Linked DNA regions of Notamacropus eugenii. The protein of the gene in region 1 purifies or fractionates together with the protein of each later gene. This does not show direct contact. Links are inferred from orthologs where the notes say so. Each region holds a gene or a part of one and is shown on either strand. Other genes may lie near its edges. The genes, in order: KPNB1, DLGAP5 and NUP214.

Region 1 (7,018 bases):
CTAGCTGTGTAATCTTGGGCAAGTCACTCTTCTGAGATTCAGTTTCCTCATTTATAAATAAGGGGAGCAGACAGAGTGACTTTGGGGGTCCTTTCTAAGTCTAAGTTTGTGTGACCCCCATTAGCTTCAGTGTTTGTACAGGGGCTCACCAAACATGTTCACAATTGCCCTGGAAGCTACCCACACACAATCCGCATGGAAGAGTGATTTCCTCCATAGATGAACTTAAGATCTTACTGTTCAAGGATGACATAGTGCTGATTTTCTTTAAATACCAGAATACTACTAAGTATCCTCAATGAGATCCTCAAAAATTGAACAATCCACATGGGGGAAAACCAAATGGATGAAAAAACGTGTATTGTTTAGGCACACTAGATGGGCATTCAGTTGGATGGGCAGCCCATTAAATTAGTCCATCAGTATGCATCTCTTGCAGAGGCACATGTCTCTGGATGGACAATGAACTGGCAACTGAATAGGAAGAAATGAATAGACTGGATTGCATTTGGAATATTATCCCATGTTTTCAAAATCTAGAAGTGTTTCCTGAAATGACCACTTATCATTTTTTTGTCTTTATAGGTTTATTTTTATTTTTTTATATCACAATCATTGCCTTTAATCCCCTATATCTGTTGTCCAGGGCTAAGATTAGTTATAATTAATCAGAGTTTTACTGCCTCCTCATATAATCCATCTTGTTGCTTTGATTTGGCACACTTATTTTTTTCAAACCTGCAAAATCACAGGTCTCCCTCAACCAGAACAGGTCTGCTCAGTAACTTAGTCTTGGAGATCTGCCTGCAGCACTGAAAGACCAAGGGTGCTTCCCAGAATGAGACAGCCAGTTGTCAGAAGTAGGGCTTGAACCTAGGCCTTCTGGCCTCTCAAGGCCAGCTCTCTATCCAATGTGCAATATTGCCTTCCTAATTCATCTTTTCACAACATTCTTCTAGTGATGCTAGATACATTGTTAAGTGCTTAATAAAATATCTGTTGCATCGAACCAAATCATTTCATGACTCCAATTGCCTACTGGATAAAGATCAAATTCCTTTGTCTTTTAAGACCCTCCACAATCTAGTGCCAGCCTTATCTCAGACTCTTTCCTTCCACATATTCTGCCCTCCCCTCAAATTAGACTCCTTGATGACCCCACACATCCTATACTTTGCCACCTCCAAATCCTTTCTGCTTCTTGTGACTAGATGTGTTCTCTACCTACCTCGCAGAACCCTAGGGGGCTAAACTCCTAGACCTCCTTTAAAGCCTAGTTCATATTCCACCTCTTAAGTCTTTCTTGATTCCTCTACTTGGTATTAAACATTTTGCCCTTGAAACTTGCTTAGTTCTTGGCTGGTATTCTCATGTACCCACTTTAAAGTTTTGTAAAGATATTCATAGATGTTTTTTCTTTTTTTACACTGTGGAACTGCCCAACAGTGTCCCTCTCCCCTGAGAGATCCCTCCCTGGTCACAAACGAAAATGTCTTGTCCACTTATACATTATGTCTACCAGTCATTTTTGTGTGTCTTGCCCTCCCTACCACTCCCATATATGCTTAGCAACATTGTCTCACCTGAACTTTGTATCTCTCCCCATACCTAGCACATGGCAAAGACTTTTTATAAAGTCTGATTGAATGGGGTCCAGTGGTTGTGAAGCTCAAATAACACAAATGATGTTAACTCACTTATGTAACTACTTTCCCCCTAACTATTGAATGAGGAAGGCCGTAGGATTTAGACCCAGAAGATATTTTAAGAGACTACCTACTCCGACTCCTTTGTTTCAGAGAGGATCTTAACAATTAGAATAGTTAAAAGATAGGATGAACTCCTCATCACTTGTGGGCTTCAAGGAGATTAGTTCAACTTTAGTAAGCAAATATTAGTGTCTCCAATTTAAATAAAGCAAAAACAAAATGAAAGAACTGTGACTTGTACAGTGGACAGCTCTGAGGGCTCTATGGACTAGTTGTGGTTTGACCTCTAGACCCTCCCAACTCTTGACTGTGGTTTGATTAAACGGAGGGCCAGAACAGAGCCAGGATTCGAATTGGTCTATCTGGGTTTTACAGTTTCCAAATCAAGTGTGTTCTAACAAGTAGATCTAACATGCCAGAGGAAGTCCGAAGATTCAGAAGCACTGTCTGACACGTTTCTAGCTTCCTCTGGGGACTTACGTACAGGATGGAAATTGAAGCCTCACATGTTCTATTTTCTCATGACCTCTTGGAATCACTTCCTGCTTCAGCTTAATTTAAGCTAACTTTCCTTATTCCCTTATTTATGGCCCATTCCCCAAATACTTTATGTATACACATTATATTTTGTGTACATATTCTTCTCCTTCCCTTATGTTAAAGCCTCAAGTGTTCTACCACCTCACAACCTTTTGCAATGTGTAGTTCAGCTTAATTTAAGCTACCTTTTCTTATTCCTCTACATGTCTGTGGTCCACTCCCTAAATACTTTATATATGCTCATTATTTTGTGTATATTTTTTCCCTTCCTCCCCTGGAGATTGGGGCCGAACCATCCTTGTTTTTCAACTCTCAGGTCCTAAAACAGTGTCAGCACTTATTAAATGCTTAATGAATATTTAATACGGTCAATTCTTGCTCCAGGAGCAAGTAATTTTAGGTATTTTAAATGCTTTGATTTTAAACACACCCCAATACTGGAAGAATCTGTGATTTCTTCTGCAGTAAGGCCACTCCCTTCACGTACTGATAAGTCCCAGGGCTGTGCCTCAAACATGCAGAGCTAAGAGAGCAGCTCTGGATTACACAGCTCGCAAATTTAAGAATTAGGATTTGAACCCAGATCTGCCAGAATTAGCACGTTTATAACGAGGCTGATAGCCAGGGGCGTTCAAGTAAACACCTACATGAATTTCCACTTCAGCGGACGTCTGCAGCGAACTTACCTCGTCAGGGCACCACACGTGCCCTGACACTCCAGGTACGGCCCCGGCCCCAACCCCGGGCCACCCACTGGGCCTCAGCACAGTCGGGCATAAAGCCCGCGCCGAAATCAGTTAGGAAAGAAGCCCAGCACCGCGCCCGCGCCCGGGGCCTAGACCGACCTCATCAAGCCCAGCTCAGGGTCTGGGCGGGGGCGTCCTGAACGCCGACTTGGGCGCTAAGATGCCGGCCCGCCTCTTTCCTGAGGTATCCCATGGTGCCCCGCGGCCTTCGGCCGCTCAGAGCATCCCGCCTTTCAGACCGAAGCGACCCCGAACTCCTCTACTCAGTTCTCTTGAGTGCCCGGCCTCAGTTCATCCAATCGATTCCCAGCACCGCGTCCAATCAGAACCCTCCGGGGCTTTCCCTTCTATTACCCCCTCCCTTCCCCACCCCCAGCCAATGCAAGCACAGCACCCTCATGAGGCGGGGCCAATCGGCGGGCGGCTCCGGGCAACCTCTCTCCCGCCCCCCCACGCCAATCCGCGCGTCCTTCCCGGCCGCCAGCCCATCCAACCGGAGCTTCGCAGGCAGCGGGCGAATAGGCACGCGGCGGCCCTCCGGCCCCAGCTGGCGGGCCAATCGGGAAGTCCGCGTGGCCTCGGTGGGGGCCAATCGGACTGGAGCGCGGTGCCGCCGCGACGAGTTCCGGCCCGGATATCCCTCCGCCTCTTCTCTCGCTCTCTCTCCCCGCCTGCGAGCCGCCGTTCACTCACTGACTCCCTCCCACCCTCTTTTCCTTCTTTCTCCCTCCGCCGCCCCAGCACCAGCCGCGCTCCGACTTGCCCCCGGGGTCCCTCCCCCGCCGCCGCCGCCACTGCCACAGCCGGAGGAGCCAAAGCCCTCGATACAGCAGCACAGGAGGAAAAGGAAGGGGAGGTGGAGAAGAGGCAGCCAGGCAGGAACGCGGGCAGGGAAGCCGGAGCGACCAGTAGGAGGGAGCCGGTGAATGGGCTTGTGGTGACCCCCGCCCCCCCACCCCAACCCTCCCTTCCCACCCGGCCCCCCAACCCCCCGTCCCCCATCACAGCCATCGCCGCAACCGCGGGAGTCTGAGAAGCCGGAGCCGCCCGAGGAGGAGCCCGAGCCCCCGTCGCCGCCATGGAGCTGATCACCATCCTCGAAAAGACCGTCTCGCCCGGTACGAGACCGGGGTTGGGGCTGGGGCTGGGGCCGGGGCCAGGGCCAGGGCCGAGGCCGAGAGATGGGGCGGGGGGATGGGACCGAGGTGATCTGACCGGGGGAGGGGAAGCCCCCTCTTCCCCCTCTTCGCGGTTCCCCTGACCCCCTTCCTTTTCCTTCTCCACAGATCGGATTGAACTGGAAGCGGCGCAGAAGTTCCTGGAGCGGGCAGCTGTAGAGAACCTGGTGCGTTTTGCGCCTGGCCCCCTCCCATCCCCCCAGGCTGGGGCCTTCCCGCCCTCCCCGGGGCCCAGGCCTAGGGAACCCACCCCGCCCCATCTCGCCCCCCCTCCCCCTTCTCCCTCCCTTCCCCCCCTTCTCGGACCAACCTAACCCCGCCATCGGGAAGCCGGTGGGTGTGTCCCGCCCCAGGCCCCGGCAGCCGGCCAATAGCGAGGCGCGCCGGGCGAGGGCTGCCCAATCACCGCCCGGCCTGAGGGCGGCGGTGCAGCGGGAGGGAGGGGAAGTTAGGTTGCGCGGCGCTGCGTGTTCAGTAAGGGTGGGGGTTGGGGCGCCGGGGCCTAGGGACCATGTGGAAGCCCTAGGAGCCCGGCCAATCGCCCCGCCTAAGGGCCTGCTTCTCCTTTTCCGTGGCCTTTCTCATTCTCAGTCCACTTCATTGAGCTGGTCTTTTCCAGACTCTGCCTCCATAGTCTGGCCTGGTAGCCCCCAAATCTCCTTTCACTTAATGCCCATATTTTACCCCCTCCTTGAGTGTGGGTCTTCTGCTGCCATCATGGAACTGGATGGGGATAGAGTTTTAATCGGTCAGGGAGTTGGTCTTAGACTAGGCAGTGTGGCCCAGAAATGAGGAGATGAGGCCTATTTCCTGTTGCAGTTTCAGAGGAAGTATTTTGCTATTCTTACTTTCCAGATTTTAAGAATATGAAAAAATTATGCAGTTCCCTATTTGATGGGGAGCTGTTTCTCTGGATAAAAATTTAGGGTGGATTGAATGAAACAGCCCATATGCCAGTCATGTTCCCCTTTTGGTGTTTTTCTTATAAAACTGAGATTGAGATGTCTGCGGCATAATGTCCTCTTTTAAATGGTTGAAGAACCATAAAATATTCTAAAAATGTTTTTTTCTGTCACTTAAACTAGACGTAAGGTGAACCTCATGCCAAAAGAAAAAAATTATGGATGGTTTTTTTAGACTGTTTTTAAGTGATTTAGTCTTGTGCTTTTAAAGGTCAGTATTGGTTGACACTACAATTTTAGCTATAATTAGGTTATTTTATTTCTTAACTGGCCTGTGTGTGCCCTTCACGTTTTGCAGGCAAGACCTTTTACTGATATAAATGAATCATTTGTTTTATTTTTGTGAAGAATTGTAAGAAATCTGTTTGACTTGTTACTTAATAATGTGTTGCCTGTTGAGAAGATTAATTCTTGCATGTCTCAAATTTCATAGACTGGCTCTGCCCATTTGTGGCTTAGCTTATGAACTTTGGGAGTAGGGTTGAGAGACTTTGGGGGAGGCTATATTCTGTTTGTTAAATATATCTGCATTTATAAGTAGTTGGGGCTTGATGGAGCTTCTTGCAGATTTCTAGCTTCAGTAGAGTGCTCAGCTTCAGTATGGTTAGAAAGTCAGGAGCAACTGATAAATATAAATTAGTAAATGACAGTAGTTTGTTGAAGTCTTGCCTTACAGTTTCTCACTTCTATTTTTGAAATTGAATCCTTAGTTCTAAAAGTTTGGTCCTTGTTGCCAACCTTCATATCTTTTACCTTGCACTTATTCTTCCCAATTTTCATTTTATTGCCATTTAATGCTTCTGGCTTATTTTCCCTTTATAGTGTCTTTGAATAGGGTACAAAGAAGGTTCCTGAAGCATTATTTTACTTTGAGTTTACATATAAGTAATTACAGAATTTCAGAATTAGGAGGAACCTCAGTGGCTAGTTAGTCTCTTTTATTAATGTACTTGACAAATGGTCATCTAGCCTTTGCTTGAAGACCTTTAATGAGTGGGAACTTCCCAAGGCAGCCCATTCTTCATTTGTAGAATTTTACATTGTTAAGAAACTTATATCGAGCCTAAATTTTTTTCTTCTACTAGTTGCTCCTACCTCTTGTCTTTTCCTTCCTGCAAAAATAAAGCTGACTTTGGAGGGAAGGCTTAGGAGAGAATCCTGACTCTTCTAAAATAGCCTTGTGACCATGGGCAAATCACTTTGCTTATCTGATCTCTTGTATATAATGGGCATGATAAAGAATTTCCAAGACCTGCGGAGTTCTAAGATTTACTGAGTCAAGAATCTAGTCCATTTTGGATGAACATTCCTAGAAGGTAATTGTCAACTTATTCCTTTCCTGCATCTGTCCATAGAAGAAACCTATTGACTGACAGGTAGATCAACAAACTAGCTTTGAGTTTGAACAGGTTAGCTGTGGACATAAAGACAACGTATAAATGACATCAGTCAGAATGAAAAACTATCCTACTTTTATTTATCTGAGTATAGGAGTTGGGGAGAAGGATGGTGAATATAGAGTATCCCAAAAGTCTTAGTGCAGTTTAAAGCATGTTATTGGTGTATGAGCAAAACAATTAAGTGGAGTTTTGAAGTTGATATTTTAAAATTTTTATAAAGACCTTTTGCTTTTTCCCCCATGAGTTGCTAACCAAGCTAACCTTAATCTGGGAAATTCCCTGAGGCTGTTACCATTTACAAATATTTTTCTTCTCCTAACCAGCCCACTTTCCTTGTGGAACTGTCCAGAGTGCTGGCAAATCCAGGAAATAGCCAGGTTGCCAGAGTTGCAGCTGGGCTACAGATCAAGAACTCTCTGACATCTAAAGATCCAGACATCAAGGCACAGTATCAACAGAGATGGCTTGCTATCGATGCCAACG
Region 2 (7,767 bases), on another chromosome or scaffold:
CAGCCCACAGACAGTAGGGGGATTGGACAACTGGTCAGAAGGAGATTTACTACTTAGCTGACATCAGAGGCAGAACTTTTGCATTGCCTATACTTGGATCTGGCTGACTGTTGATGGTGAGGAAGAGCACTAGAACTTGTGACTGTAGTGGAGTGGAGACCCTGTTCATAGTTCCAGGATGTAAAAGAGTGCTTGTGATCTCTCACAGACCTCTTCTTAGATCATGCCACCTTGAAAGAACTAAAAACTTATAGGAACCTAGAAGTGTCTCTGAAAACATCTGTACAAAAAACCTGGGATGGTAACTCCTCCACTCCAGAAGTAGAGCCCCACTTTAGCATGGGTCAAGAAATTCCTGGAAAATGAGCAAACAGCACAAAATATTCTGCTATAGAAAGTTACTAAGGTGAAAAGAAGATCAAAACAAAAGCTCAGGAGAAGACAACAAAACCATAACTCCTATATACAAAGCCTTAAATAAAACGATGAATTGGGAGAACTTAAAAAGGATTTTAAAAATCAAGTAAGAAAGGTAGAGGAAAAATTGAGAAGATAAATGAGAGTGATACAAGAAAATAATGAAAAAAGTCAACAAAAAATACTGAAGAAAATGACACCTTAAAAAACAGACAGGAAATATACTAGAAGAGGCACAAAAAACCAATGAGAAGAAGAATGCCTTGAAAAGCAAAATTGGTCAAATAGAAAAAAGAGGTACAAAAATCCACTGAAGAAAAGAATTCCTTAAGAAATAAAATTATCTAAATGGAAAAGGAAGTACAAAAGCTCACTGAAGAAAATAGTTCCTTAAAAATTAGAATTGGGCAAGTGGAAGCTAATGACTTTGAGGCACTGCAAAACAATCAAACAAAATCAAAAGAATGAAGAAATAGAAGAAAATGTTAAATATCTCATTGGAAAAATGACCTAGAAAATGGATCCAGAAGAGATAATTTAAGAACTATTGGACTACCTGCAAACATGATAGCCTAGAACCTTATCTTTTAAGAAATTATTAAGGAAAACTATCCTGATATTTTAGAACTAGGGGGTAAAATAGAAATTGAAAGAATTCCTTGATCATCTCCTGAAAGAGATCCCAAAAGGAAAATTTCCAGGAATATTATAGCCAAATTCCAAAGTTCCCAAGCCAATGAAAAAATGTTATAAGCAGCCAGAAATAAACAATTCAGGTATCGTTGAGCCACAATCAGTATAACACAAGATTTAGCAGCTTCTACCTTAAAAGGTCAGAGGGCTTGGAATATGATATTCCACAGGGCAAAGGAGCTAGAATTACAACCGAGAATCATATACCTAACAAAACTGAGTATAATCCTTCAGAGGAAAAAAATGATATTCAATGAAATGGAGGACTTTCAAGCATTCTTAATGAAAAGACCAGAGCTGAATAAATTTTAGCTTTCAGATACAAGATTCAAGGCAAGCATAAAATGGTAAACAGGAAAGGGAAATCTTAAGGGATTCAATAAGGTTAAACTGTTTACATTCCTACACAGGAAAATAATACTTGTAACTCCTGAAAGTTTTCTCATTATTATGGCAGTTAGAAGTATACATATTCAAAGCACAGGTATGAGTTGAATGTGGTGGTATGATTATCTAAAAAAAATAAAATAAAATTGAGGGGTGAGAAAAAAGAATGTACTGGGAGAAGGGGAAAGGGAAAGATAGAATGGGGTAAATTATCTTACATAAAAGAGGCCTGAAAGAGATTTTACAATGGAAGGGAAAATGGGATATGGCAGGAGGGGTAATATATGAACCTTACTCTCACTGAAATTGACCCAAAGAGGGAATAACACACATTCACTTGGCTGTAAAAATCTGTCTTGCTATACAAGAAAGTAGGAGGTGATGGGGATAAGAGAATGGGGTGGTGGTGCTGATAGAAGGCAGGGCAGTTTCAGGGAAATAAAAGTCAGAAGCAAAACACTTTTGAGAATGCACAAGGTAAAAGGAGAGAGAGAGTAGAGTAAATAGGGGAAATAGGATGGAGTGAAATACAGAGTTTAGTCATCGCTGTGAAAAAAAATCTTTTAGAGTGAATTTCTCTGATAAAGACTTAATTTCTTAAATATAGAAAGCAGAGTCAAATTTGCAGAAATAAGAACTATTCCTCAGCTGATGAATGGTCAAAAGATATAAATGGGCAGTTTTAAGACAGTGATTAAAGATATGTATAGTCATATGAGAAAATATTCTAAATCACTATTGATAAGAAAAATACAAATTAAAACAACTCTGAGCTAACACCATGTGCCTATCAGATTGGCTTATATAACAGAAAAGGAAAATGACATTGTAGGGAATGTGGGGAAAATTAAAATATTAATGTACTGTTAGTGAAGTTATATAGTTATTCAGTCATTCTGGAGAGCAATTTGAAACTATGCCCAAAGGGTTATAAAACTATACAAACACCTTGACTGAGCAATACCACTACTAGGTCTGTATCCTAAAGAGACAAAATAAAAGGAGAAGGACTTATCTGTACAAAAATATTTATAACAGCTCTTTTATGGTGGCAAAGAATTGGAAATTGAGGGGATGTACATCAATTGGGTAATGTCTGAACAAGTTGTAGCAAATGATTGTGATGGGATGCTATGTGCTTTAAGAAAGGATGAGCAGGATGCTTTCAGAAGAACCTAGAAAGACTCACATGAATGGATGCAAAGCGAAATGAGAAGAACCAGAAGAACATTGTGCAAAGTAATAACAATATTGTATGACGACATATTGGGAATAGCTTGGCTATTCTCAGTAATACAATAATGAAAGACAATTCTGAAAAACTTATAATGAAAGGTGCTGTGCATCTCCAGAGAAAGAACTGGTAGAGCCTGAATGTAAATGAAAGATACTTTTTCTTCACTTTATTTTACTTGGGTTTGGCTTTTTCTTTTTTTGTCTGTGTTTTTCTTTCAAAGCATGACTCAAATGGAAATGTTTTGCACAACTATACATGTATAAACTACATCAATTGCTTACTTTCTCAAAGAGAAGGGGAGGAAGGGCGAGAATTTGGAACTCAAAATTTGAAAAAAGAATGTTAAAATTATTTGTACATGTAATTGGGCAAAAATATTTTAAAAGAATGTAAAAAAAATGAAACATTAAGGAACAACAAAAAAAGAAAAATTAATCAGATCCCACTATTGTGCACATTTAAAACACACACACACACACACCCCTATGGACACACAGGCACATATACATTCATATATTTATACCACACGTATATGTAATGTGCAGGTATGGCAAATACCTAGGAAAAGAAGGAAAAGAAGTCTGGGTTGCCTTTGAAAAACTGCCAGTTTCTTTAAGGACTTCTAATTCCTCCTTGAAACAGAGACCCTCCTTTTTAATATCAATATTCTTCTGCTGGTGTTGTATAGCTATGAGTTATTGTACACCACAGTCCCCAAAAAACTGAAACTAAGGATTATCCAAAGGACAATAGAGAAGCAATGAGGCTGCAACTCATACCAAACATGGAATTCTGTAGGAGAAATGGAATAAAGGATATAATCAAAAAAAGGTACCATCAAAAAAGATGGGCTAGTCAAAGAGTGAGCATACCTAGAAGTTCCACCGGTATCTTTGTTAACATCCAGGTTCTAGCATCTTGAGTGGATCCTGTGATGAACTTACAGAAGGACAAAGGCAAAAGTCCAGAAGACAGGCAAGCATGGATGAATCGGAATCTATGTCACTGTTGGGAATACTCACAGATCCAGCTGAGTGTACTACGTGTAGAGATACTGGCCCAGTCTGTATAAAGTTTCAGGGCTAGTCTGCATGGAGCTTTAGGCAAGACGCAGGTATGTTTCTATAGGAGAAAGAAATGGCACTGGCTAAAACAAAGATGGGAAAAGCAGTTGGCTTAGATAAGCATGTATAGAGAAGATCTTTGTCGGAGACTATAGGTATGTGATTCCAAAGGTACAAGGATACCTTATAAGGACACCAGATAAGGAAACTCCCTCTACCAATGGAGATCCTCAGAAAAGCTACTAACCTGCACGGGTAGTTTCCTATACCAATTAAATTATGGGTCCTGTCTCTATCCCAATCACCCTAGTTCATTTGATAGGCCTGAGGATAAAACCTCAAAGTTGTTTTAATTTATATGCATAATATATATTTGTATATTATATAATTATTATGGGTGACTTGGAGCACTTTTTCTAAGTTGATATTTCATAGGTTCAAACTGCTGACAACAAAAAATTGTTCTTAATCAACATGCACTTATGAACCGTTAATATTAATATTCTATTTAAGGATAGCAAGCATCTGCAAACCACGTGTAAGATCAAATTACAGTGAGCGTTTCGAGAGCGCTTCCAGAGCCGCAAAGCGCTTTCCACGTTCCGTCATGCGATGCTCACAAGTGTGCGAGGCGGGCAGGCCGGTACTGCGGGACCGCTCGGGTTACAGACAGGCCCGCTGGCTGAGTCCTTCCGGCCTCCTCTTCCTCCTCCTCCTTCTCTTCGGGGGAGAGAACTCTAAGCAGCGCGCATGGGAAGCCTCCTCCGGCAGCCCGGCCCATCCCACAGACTTGCTCCAGGATCCGGGCGGAGGACGGATCCCGCCGGTTTAATCCAACGAACAACGAGACGGAAGCCAACCGCGCTGCATCCCGCGAAGGGGATGAGCGGACCGTGAATCCTCTCCCGCCCGGAACCAACCGGAAGAGCGGAAGCCTCCCTCTCGCCCCGCCCACTAGGCCTCCGCTCTCCGAGGGAGGCTGGGGGAGGGGAAAAGGTGACAGGTCGGTGGGCAGCCAGCATTCCCCAAGGGCCGGGGCCTTTCCCCTATGCGCTCAACAATAACAAAACAGTTATACAAGCAGTGGAAACGATGGCGGAAATCTATCGAGCCCCAACCAGCTACTCAGCCCGCCGATACAGCCCAGTCGGAAGTAGTTACAAGCGTCATCCTCTTCGGCCTCTCCCAGCATTCGTTTCCGGCCTTAGACCAATCCAAGAAGCTCCCTGAACTGACCAATCAGGAAGCGCCCTATAGAGCTCCACCAATCATAAGCTGGAGGCGGGAAATTTAAGCGTCCCGGAGGTGGACGATCTGACTTCATTTTGAAAACTGGGCGTTTCCGGTTTTTGGGGGAAGAGCGGTGTTTTTATCCTTTTCTTTTGATAGTTTCCCCAGAACCTTTTTTGCTAGGAAAGTGTGTTTCGCAGGTAGGTCCGTCTGGAGGGGTTGGGTGGGGGTGGGGGGAGGGGAGGAGAAAAGGGGGTGTATGTGTGTGATAGTGTGGGGGCGGGGGAGGATCCCGCCGTGCCTCCGCCTCTGGAGAAGGGCAGTTTGGGCCGCTGGGGAGTCGCGGCTCCGCCTTGGTGTCGCTGGGCTCTGGCTCTGAGGGGGTCCTTCGCCCGGTGCTGGTGGTAGTGGAGAAAAGACAAACTGAGTCAATTACTCTTTAGTACCTGGATAGTGGGCAGAGTCCGTGTGGCGCCTTCCCTTCCGGTGCACCAAGAGCTGCCTCGGCCTGTCTGCAAGCCTCCTGACATAAGGCCACATGCTGGCCGGGTGACCCTGGACCAGTCACTCCACCTCCGGTGTTCTAAACAAGTGTAAAGCCATAGTGCGGAGGTGGTGGCGATCACCACTGGTAGAGGGTGTTTCCTTATGTGGGAGGTCTAGGTCTAGACCCCATCAGATTTTTGTTGTTTACTCATTTCAGTCATGTCCAACTTCTCCATTTGGAGTTTTCTTGGCAGAGATACTGGAATGGTTTTCTGTTTCCTTCTCCAGCCCATTTTACAGATGCAAACAGGGTTAAGTGACTTGCCCAGGGTCACACTGCTAGTGTCTGAGAGTATTTGAACTCGTGCCTTCCTGATTTCAGAACGGGCTAACTGCCCTCTACCAGGTTAACATACTGTAATTCTAATGGTGTTGGTCCAGGGCTGACACAGCTGGGTGGCACAGTGGGTAGAGCATCTTCCTAAGTTCAGATGTGGCTGTGTGACCTGGGCAAGTCACTTAACTTGGCCGCAGTTCCTCATTCTGTAAAATGGGGACACTGGAGAAGGAAATGACAAGCCACTCCTGTGTCCTTGCCAAGAAAACGAGTCAGAAGGATCATGAAGAGTTTGACCCATGGAACAACAGCCTTTATTGTTGTGTTTGTCCTTTGTTTTTCTGAGAAGCTATGACATTAAAGAAATGAGGACATAACTTGCACTTGTTTTTGTTTTGAGTGAGGGAGGGCTGTGGAAGGTCACCAACCTCACTTTCTGCTTGGACCCATCTGAATCCAGTGACCAGATATTCATCAGGATGACCGGAGATGGCCTGGGAGACCTTGGCCCCTTGGCTAAGATCTTCTCAGGTACTCACTTAAAGTGAGGTAATACCCATTCAGTAAACTGGCCTCTTTCAAAGGTCTAGGGGGGATAGCCCCTTTCATAGAAAAGAGAAAATAAATAGATAAATCATGCTAGGAGGGGCAGGAGCCTCAGCGTTGTTGTTTGGAAGAGAAACTGTTACTATTGACATTCCCTCTAAGCCCTGAGGGTCCAAAACCAGCCATTGAGTGGAGGTTGGGCAGGGACCCTTCCATGTTTAGTCCATGGGTTTCACTGTATCGTGTCCAAGGCTTTAGAGGAGAAAAGAAAGAAGGGAAGGGGAGCAACAGCCATCCCAAAGGTGTACAGCATGAATTTCATTTTCTCGGTTTAGAAAAAAGTTCACAAACGACATTTTCTTTCTTTTGCTCCTTTTTTTTGGAATCACTTATTGTTGCTTTCTTGCCAAACCCCTCTCCCTTAAAATGGAAGAAAACCTTCCCTTGTGGTATAAATAGAGTCATTCAAAACGTTTTTCAAATCCAGCCACTTTTTGTGTCTCATTCTGCATCTCTAGTCCATCAACTTATGTGCCAAGTATAGATCCACATCAGTCTGTTGGAGTCATTGGGTTCATTGATTATCATTCCTAAGTCTTTCATGATTTCTCTTTACATTGTTGTTTTTGTGTAGGTAGTTCACTCTGCAGTTTCTCTGAATCCTTTTCTCATGTATTAACTGTGATAACATTTATAAAAAACTTGCTCAGTAATTTTTCAGTTGATGGACACCCACTCTGATGTCAGTTCTTGCCTACAACAAAAAGTGGTGCTACAAATATTTTTATAAATAAGGGTTTGAGTATAAGCCAAGTAGTTGTATCTGAGAATCAGTAGGTGTGCATAGATTAGTGAGTTTTGGGGCATAGTTCCAAAAGATTGGATCACTTCACAGCTCCACTAGCAGTGTATTAATTTGCATATTCTCATCTTCAGCTCCAATACAGATAAAACTAGTGCTTGGTTTTAAATAGATGCTATTTACCATATTGAGGAATGCTTCATTCCTATGCTTCTTAATATGTTTAAAATGACAAATTGTCATTTTATTAAAAAGCTTTTTGTCATTTATTGATATAAGAACATATTTATTGTTTTTGTTAATAATGTTTGTTATATTTATAATTTTCTAATATTGAACTAACCCTATATTCCTTGTATAAATCTAACCTGGATTTCTTTTCCCTCTCAAAAATAATTTTATTTATTCATTGATTTTAAAACTCTTCCCTCCCCAAAAAACCCTACCGTCCTTCTAATGAGTAACCACAGCTGAGGAAGTAATCACTCCCATTTGCTGAGACAAATGTATTACTCATTCTGTACCTTAATTCCATTACCTCTCTATTAGGACTTGTTAGTATGTGGGT
Region 3 (7,623 bases), on another chromosome or scaffold:
AGAGCTGCTTAAGGAACTTTGCAATTTAACAAGAATGATGCTAAAGCTTAGATAGGAAAAGTGGTGGATTATCTGGTAGATACACTAATTAGGTGATATCGTACAACCTTAGTCACCAGCATCTTTCACTCCTGGAAACCAGAGAAAGGAGTTTCTAAGGGGTGTATTTTTGGTCTGTTATGTCCGTAGCAAGATAACTTTGAGAGATGATGTCTATAGCTTGACCTCTGGATTGTATATGATAACTGGGAATCAATACATGAGAATTCTACTGGCACAAGGTAGTCCTGTTCACAGAAGGGAAATTCTACAGAGGTCAGCTTGTTCTTGGAACAGGGAGGGATAGTTTACCTCACAGGAGCACACTCATGAGTTATTTCTAGGCATAGTGTCCTTGGACTGGAGAGAAAACTGTCTGGGAAAGTGTTTTGAGACTAGGGAGAAATGTGATCTTGGAATTGGGGTCCATACACAAGCACCCCATAAATGTTACTTCCCTGCTCAATAAAATCCAGTGGCTTCCTATTACCTCTAGGAACAAACACAAAATGTTCTCTTTGGCAGAGTCCTTTGTAACCTAGCCCTCTCCTACCTTTCCAGTTTTCTTGCACCTTACTTCCAGACAGGTACTCTTTGATCCAGCGACACTGGTCTTCTAGCTGTTTCACAAATAAGACCCTTCATTTTTCAGTTCCGGGCATTTTTTCTGCCTCTTCCCCATGCCTGGAATGCTCTTCTTCTGCTCCAACTAATGACCTCTCCCTAGCTTCCTTTAAGTCCCAACTAAAAGTCCCATCTTTTACTGGAAGCCTTCCCTTTTAAATGTGCTTGTCTTCTATTAATTATTTCCTGTTTATCCTGTATATAGCTTGCTTTGTCTATATTTGTTTGCATGCTGTCTTGATTAGAAGGTAAGCTCCTTGTGGGCAGGGACTGTCTTTTATTTCTTGTGTCCTCAGTGCTTAGCAGAGTGCCTGGCACATAGTAGAAGTTTAATAAATATTGATTGATTGAGGGTGTAAGGTAGAAGAGACAGGCTGCCTCAAGGACAAAACCAGGAGCAAGTGAAAGTCGGAGTGAACTAGATCTTATGTTCCACAAGGAAAAACTTTCTAACAGAGCTATCCAAAAGTGCAATGGTCTGCCTTGAAAGGCATCCATCCCTGGACATCTTTGAGTGGGGACCACTCTAAAGGGAATTCTTGTTCTGGTATGCTCTAATGTACTTTGAGGTTCCATGTAAATATGACATTTTGGGATTCCAGGATATCTGAATGCAGGAAACCCTTCCAAGGTCTCTCAAATGATACCATGCTCTTAATATTGTAATAGTCTCCTGACTAGTAGGTTTGTCTTTTTCAAGACTGTATACCCTCCATAGTGCCCCTCTAGTTTCCAACCCCCCCCCAATTTTACATAATATATTAAGATGAATCTTCCTAATATATTCCTTTGGTGATGCCATTCTCCTCAAAAATCTTTAAGGATTTTTTTTACTGCCACAGAATAAATTGTAGTCACAGAATTTTAGAACTAGAGGGGCCGCTAAAAAGCATTTAGTCCAGGAGTTCTTACCCTTTTTTGTGTCATAGATCCCTTTGGCAATCTGGTGAAATCTATGTACCCTTTCTCAGATTAATACTTTTAAGTGCTAAAATAAAATATAAAGTATTACATAAAGGAAGCCAAAGGTTAATGGAAATATGTATTTTTTCCCCATTTAACTTCACAATCCATACCCCTCTCCCCATCTATCCATTGATCCCTTGGGTATCCACAGATCATAGGTTAAGAATTCTTGATTAAATAATCCAACTCTTTCATTTCTCAGGGGGAAAACCGAAGCCGAAGAAAATGAATTAACTTGACCATAGTCATATAGTTACCAGACAATTGTCTGATATTCAAAGTTCTCCACAGTCTAGATGTCATCATGTTTACTGTAACTCCAATCTGCACAAAGACAAAACTAGCCAATTCATTATCCTTCAACCTTGCTTGTACTTTATACTTTGTACACCCTTTGCCTACCTAGATGAGCTTCCTTTCCCCTTTTCTTCCTGCCCACTTCTGTGGAAACCTCAAATCAAATCTTCCCTAATCCCTCTTCCATATCCAATCCATCCCTTACTGCCAGACACCCTCCGTATCCAAAGATACGCTCATATCACACCACTGTTCAAAACCTTGCAAAGGTTGCTAGTTCCTAAATTCAAACTCAGCTTTACATTCAATGTCATCCACAAGCTAGCAACAGCATCTTTCCAGTCTTAGTTCTTATATCTACTTATACCTTAGTTCTTTTACCTACTCTACTGTCCAGTCAGAAGAGACTACTTGCCCCAATATATTTGGTGCAGTAGAAAAAGTGCTGGATTTAAAAGACCTGGGTTCTCATGTGATATTGGGAATGACAACCTTTTTCAAGCTGAGTATATTCCTCTGGAAAACCAAGAAGTTAGAATACATGACCTCTAAATGAGGCAACTAGTTGGTAAAGTAGGTAGAGTGCCAAGTCCAAAAGACTTATTTTTCTGAATTCAAGTCTAGACTCAAACACTTGTTAACTTTGTGACCTTGGGCAAGTCATTTAACCCTGTTTGCCTTAGTTTCCTCATTCGTAAAATGGGCTAGTGAAGGAAATGGCAAACCTCTAGTAGCTTTGTCAAGAAAACCCTCAAATTGGGTAACAAAGAATTAGGACACAACTGAAAAAATGACGAGAAGAACAACAAGTATCTGAACACGACCTATACTTTTTGATAGTGTAGATAAAGGATTTTGCAAATTTGAACTCTATAGAAACGTCAGGTGTTATCTCCAATTCCAAGTCTTTAAAGTCCAGTTCAGATTCCACTTCCTTCATAGCGCCTTCACTGAAGCCATCGACAACTGGACGCTTTGTAGCTCTTGAGCCTTAAGTTTGATTTGTCCTAATTTGCCTCTGTGTCATCTTCAGCTGTTAGACCTAAACTCAGAGAAGCTTATTTAAAACATGGTATTCCATTCCCCCACACCTCAGTTCTGCACAAGAAGACCCGGTCTGAATTAGACCGAATTCCCCAAACTTTCCCTTTTCTTATTGGTCTTAAAAACTCTTCGCGGTCTTCCTCCCGGCAGTTCTCCGCGTCCTGGTGGAGAGGCTGGAAGGCAGGCAGGGATTTTACTTCTTTCTCTAAAATCCAGGATACAAACCTGGCAGAGGGTGCGGCGACAAGCCCGCGCGCAGGGGTGTTGAATGAATGAATGAATGAATGCCATTCATTGCGGACCACGCGGCGGGAAGGACGTGAAACAGAGCCCCGCTACGCTGAGCTATATGCTACACACAGACATTTCCCCATCCGTGAAGAATTTTTTAAAAATAAATGATTTACTTTGTTAAATGTTTCCCAATTACATGTAAACTATTTTTAACATTCGTTTTAAAAAAAATTTGAGTTCGAAATTCTCTCCCTTCCTCCCGACATCCCCCACCCATTGAGAAGGCGAGCAATATGATAGCGATTATACATGGGAAGTCACATCAGTCAAATTAAAAGTTAAAATTTTGGAAATTAACTTCCGCGGTCCAGAAACTCCCTAAGATCCTAGACTGGAAGATGACTGCATGTTAGGAAGAAAGGCTAGGCAACAGCGAATCACGACTGATGGACTTCAGGCCACACCCCCTTCCTAGGGTAAACCAATGGAAAGAGGCGGCTGACAGTAAGCGCGAGCCTGACTGACCAATGGGAGGCTGCAGTTCACAGCGCGCTCGCGCCAGACGGGCCAATGGAAAGCAGCAGCTCACGACAGGCTCGAGTTGGATCGACCCCTTTCCCACCCTCCTAGAAGACTGTTTCTCACGGGTGTGACGTAGTTTTGATGCGCCGGAAATGGCAGCCGTCGGAGCCTGTCGCTGAGCTCAGCGAGGGAATTTTTCCTCGCTGTAGCTCCGGCTCTCCGGGGGCGGCGGCTCCTCGGGCTCCCGCTTGTAGGGAGTCTGTGCCATGGGAGACGAGATGGATGCGCTGATCCCCGAACGGGAGATGAAGGTCAGGTTCAATGAGACCTGGGCCGGGAGGGGCAGGAGGACCGGTACCACCGGGACAGGCCACGCCGCGCCAGGCCTGGCCGGACGTCACTGAGGCCCAGCGTTGCCTTGGAGAGAGAGCCTCCCGTCTCGAATTTCTCGAGGCGCTGGGTGCTGTAGTTTAGAGCTTACTGGGCACGAGAGAATGGGAACCCAGAGATTTGGGTTTCAGTTAGAGTCTAGGATGTTTCCCCGTAGGTTCGATACCTTTCCCTACCCCTGCATCTCGTCTTGAAGGGACCGTAGATTTAGAGCTAGAAGGGACCCGCGGCACAGATTATCTTGTCCGGCCCGCACCCCACACCCACTTTACAGATGAGGAAACCGAGGCCCACAAGTTAAATCATTTGCTTACCGTCATAAGTGGTAGCGCCCTACATTTTCTGACTCCAGGTCCGGTCACTGCCCTTTTTTATGGATCATTGCAACGTCTACAGCCCAGTGCTTTCCCACCTCACAGGGAAAAACTCAGCATCTGCATCTTTCTTACGTAGCTGTTTCCCCAGAACAGAAAGCTAGATGAGAAAGATATAAAGGATCTTCAAAATGCGACGTCTTAGATTTCCGAAAGCCAAGAAGATGATTAGCATATATTCGGGGCATAAATCCAGACAACCTCCTCTTCCCAAATATGTAGAAAATCAAAGGGAAGTAAGTGAAATTATTCTTTGGCCCCATTTTACATATGTTTGGAGAGAAAGGGACACAAGGTGGAAATGATTTGTGGAAGAATTCCAGCATCCTGGGAAAACACAGAAATGGCTCTGGAGGGCACCGTCTTCTTCAGATGAACCTGGTTGAACAAACCATCACTATCTATCTTAGATGCTGTTGTGGAAGGGCTCCAAATCTCAAGTTGTCTTATGTGAATAAGAATAATGGACTAGTCTTACTCTTCTCGATGCCTCAGTTTCTTCATCTGTAAAATGGAGGAAACTGGATTAAGTTGTTTTGGAAGTTTTTTCCAGTACTGATATTCTGTAGTTCCTGGAATTTGTCTCTTAGGCTACATATATCTGAAGGGAATGTTGCAGGGACAGTTAGATTGACAGGTTGTTGTGAAGGGAAGTGTACCATACTGAGTATTACAAAACCAAAGTCCTAGTCACTGATTTGCTACTAATTTGGTATGAATTGTTGTGATGGGAAGTATTTCTACACTAGGTATCAGAAACCATGAGTTCTAATTCATTGATTTACTACTAAATCATAGTGTGATTCTGGGACACTCCCTTCCTCTGTCTGGGCTTTATTTTCATTATGTTTAAAATTAGGGGATAGCACTAGGTTGTTGCTAAGGTCTTTTGCATTCTGTGGTTTCTGGCTCAGTAGTCCTTGATGGATTTAGCCATTGAAGCAATATTGACTCTGATCTCTTGGACAAAGTTGGGTCAACGTTGGGTTGAGAAATATGCTGAATTGAGAGTGAAGAGATCTGGATTCTGCTTCCATTAGGTTGCATGCTTCTTGAGGGCTGAGAATATCTTTTGCTTCTCTTTGTATCTCCAGTGCTTAGTAGAGTGCCTAGCACATAGTAGTCTCTTAATGAATATTAGTTGACTGACTTCTAGATGTTTGACTCATTGTACAACCTTGGGTCACTTCCCCCTTAGAGACTCAGTTTTCCCATCTGTAAAAAACACTAGATAGTCTCTAAGGTCCCTCTCTCAACTCAAGAATACTATGGATAGTGATCCTTAAGGCTAACGTACAGATTTACTTAAGGAGCCTGTTTACATCATTGGTTCATCTGTCATCCAGATGTTGGGTGACTGTGATCTTAGAGGCCCAAAAATAATCCAGATTGTACTTACAGAAAACTTTGTTGTGGGTCTGGGCTTTTTTGGAAGGGATCACAGTAGTACACTGGACCAGTGAAAATGCCCATGAGAACTCTCATAATCCTTTTTGAGTTTGTAAATGCTATTTCAGAGGCTACAGTTCTTTAAGTATGATCATATAGGTATTATGATCCCCATTTGACAGATTTAGAAACTGAGTCAGAAAGTGACTTGCCTGTGGTCACATATCTTTTAAGTGTCAGTGATGGGGTTTTAAATCTATGTCCTCCTGATTCTAATTAAGTTCATCTTCCACTGTCTGCAAAGCAGAAAACATTCTCCCCTTGTATAAAACCACTCACAGAAGTACCTTTTCTGTTCAAGATCCTTAGCTAGATGTTGAGAATACGGAGATGCAGAATGACATAGGCTTGGCCTGCAAGAAGTTTACATGTACATATATAAGTAGAATTCAAGGTAGACAGAGATGGGGCAAAAGATATTTTGATGTGCTGAAATTTCATTGTGAAAATTTCTTGAAATGTCACATAGAATTAAGTAATCTTTTTCTTGTTGGTCAGTAATTTTTGAGTACTTGTTATGTACATAGATTTTGTGTCTTGTGGGACTATAGTAATAAGTCACATTTCTATAATCTTTTGGGGTCACAAAGTATTTTCTTCACAACATCTCCATAAGGGAGCACAAGTTTTATTGAAAATGAAGAAACTAAGGCTCAGAGGAAAAGTAACTTTCTAATAGTTTCATAGCTACTAAGTGTCAGAGCTGGAATCATTCAGTTTTCTTTATGTCAAGTCTTCAATTCATTCCACTATACCATGGGGAGAGAAATGGAAGGGACTGTCCTTATTCAGAAGGAATTTACATTGCTCTCAGTGGAGAGGTAGAATATATACTTATGTATAATTAGAGAGTAAGACTTTATATGTAAGTATATAACAGTGAGTGAGTAAGAGAAAACTAGGGTGAGCTGAATTTGTCAGGGAAGGAGTCAAGGAAGGAATGGGAGTATTAAGTCAAGATTTTCTTTGTAACTCTCTTTGACCCAGGTAAGCAATACCTCTTATCATCATTTAAACTACTGAGTTACTCTCTGTTTTTATTCTTTATGACAGGATTTTCAGTTTAGAGCGCTGAAGAAGGTTCGAGTCTTTGAAGCCCCTGAAGAGCTGTCCAAAGATCGCTGCAGTATGCTTACTGTGTCTAATAAGTATGGTCTAGTGTTCGCTGCCGGAGCCACTGGGTTTCGGGTTTTTCCTACCAAAAATCTTCTTATTCAGAATCGGCCTGGGGAGGATCCCAATAGAATTGGTTAGTTACAGTCCAGCAAACTTTTATTATTAAACTCCTACTGTGTGTGTGAAGAGCTTTTTGCAAGTTATTGATCTATGTAAGATAGAAAAGAGAGGAATGTAGTGAAATACTAGTGAAGTAGTCTTTTTCTCAAAGAAAATCTCTGACATGGTCACTGAAGTCGTGATTTTAAGAGTGTTACTAAGTTGACCAAAGGTTCCCAGGTAAGTACCAAAGCTATTCCTGAGGTGTTGGAGATAATCCATGTGGGTCTTCCTTTTGAGGTATCTGGTCATCCCTTCAAGCTCAAAGTAGGGAAAAGTCTACCTTATTTTATTTTTTGTTGGGCTTATGACCTAATTGTGGAAGGAGTTTATTGTATCACATTTTAGTTGGCTTAACAGTACTCTTGTTAAGGAGAAGATGGGCAAATTATGTACTAATGATAGAATT

What was found.
Region 2: the proteins of KPNB1 (region 1) and DLGAP5 purify together in Homo sapiens (affinity purification with mass spectrometry; 4 studies listed by BioGRID and IntAct, with this or other methods). This does not show direct contact. The link is inferred for Notamacropus eugenii from reciprocal best matches to the Homo sapiens genes KPNB1 and DLGAP5.
Region 3: the proteins of KPNB1 (region 1) and NUP214 purify together in Homo sapiens (affinity purification with mass spectrometry; 3 studies listed by BioGRID and IntAct, with this or other methods). This does not show direct contact. The link is inferred for Notamacropus eugenii from reciprocal best matches to the Homo sapiens genes KPNB1 and NUP214.

What each region holds. Positions count from the first base shown.
Region 1 is NC_092873.1:353,612,300-353,619,317, reverse strand, and holds the start of KPNB1 (importin subunit beta-1), read left to right. Parts: upstream 1-3,931; 5' UTR 3,932-4,073; coding exon 4,074-4,113; intron 4,114-4,281; coding exon 4,282-4,340; intron 4,341-6,858; coding exon 6,859-7,018.
Region 2 is NC_092872.1:344,301,236-344,309,002, forward strand, and holds the start of DLGAP5 (disks large-associated protein 5), read left to right. Parts: upstream 1-4,844; 5' UTR 4,845-5,228; intron 5,229-5,329; coding exon of another isoform or gene 5,330-5,426; intron 5,427-5,474; coding exon of another isoform or gene 5,475-5,568; intron 5,569-7,767. Other genes in the region: uncharacterized protein, read right to left, coding at 4,415-4,844, 5,330-5,426, 5,475-5,568. UniProt on the Homo sapiens protein: Potential cell cycle regulator that may play a role in carcinogenesis of cancer cells. Mitotic phosphoprotein regulated by the ubiquitin-proteasome pathway.
Region 3 is NC_092872.1:482,961,414-482,969,036, forward strand, and holds the start of NUP214 (nuclear pore complex protein Nup214), read left to right. Parts: upstream 1-4,547; 5' UTR 4,548-4,621; coding exon 4,622-4,726; intron 4,727-6,992; coding exon 6,993-7,188; intron 7,189-7,623. UniProt on the Homo sapiens protein: Part of the nuclear pore complex. Has a critical role in nucleocytoplasmic transport.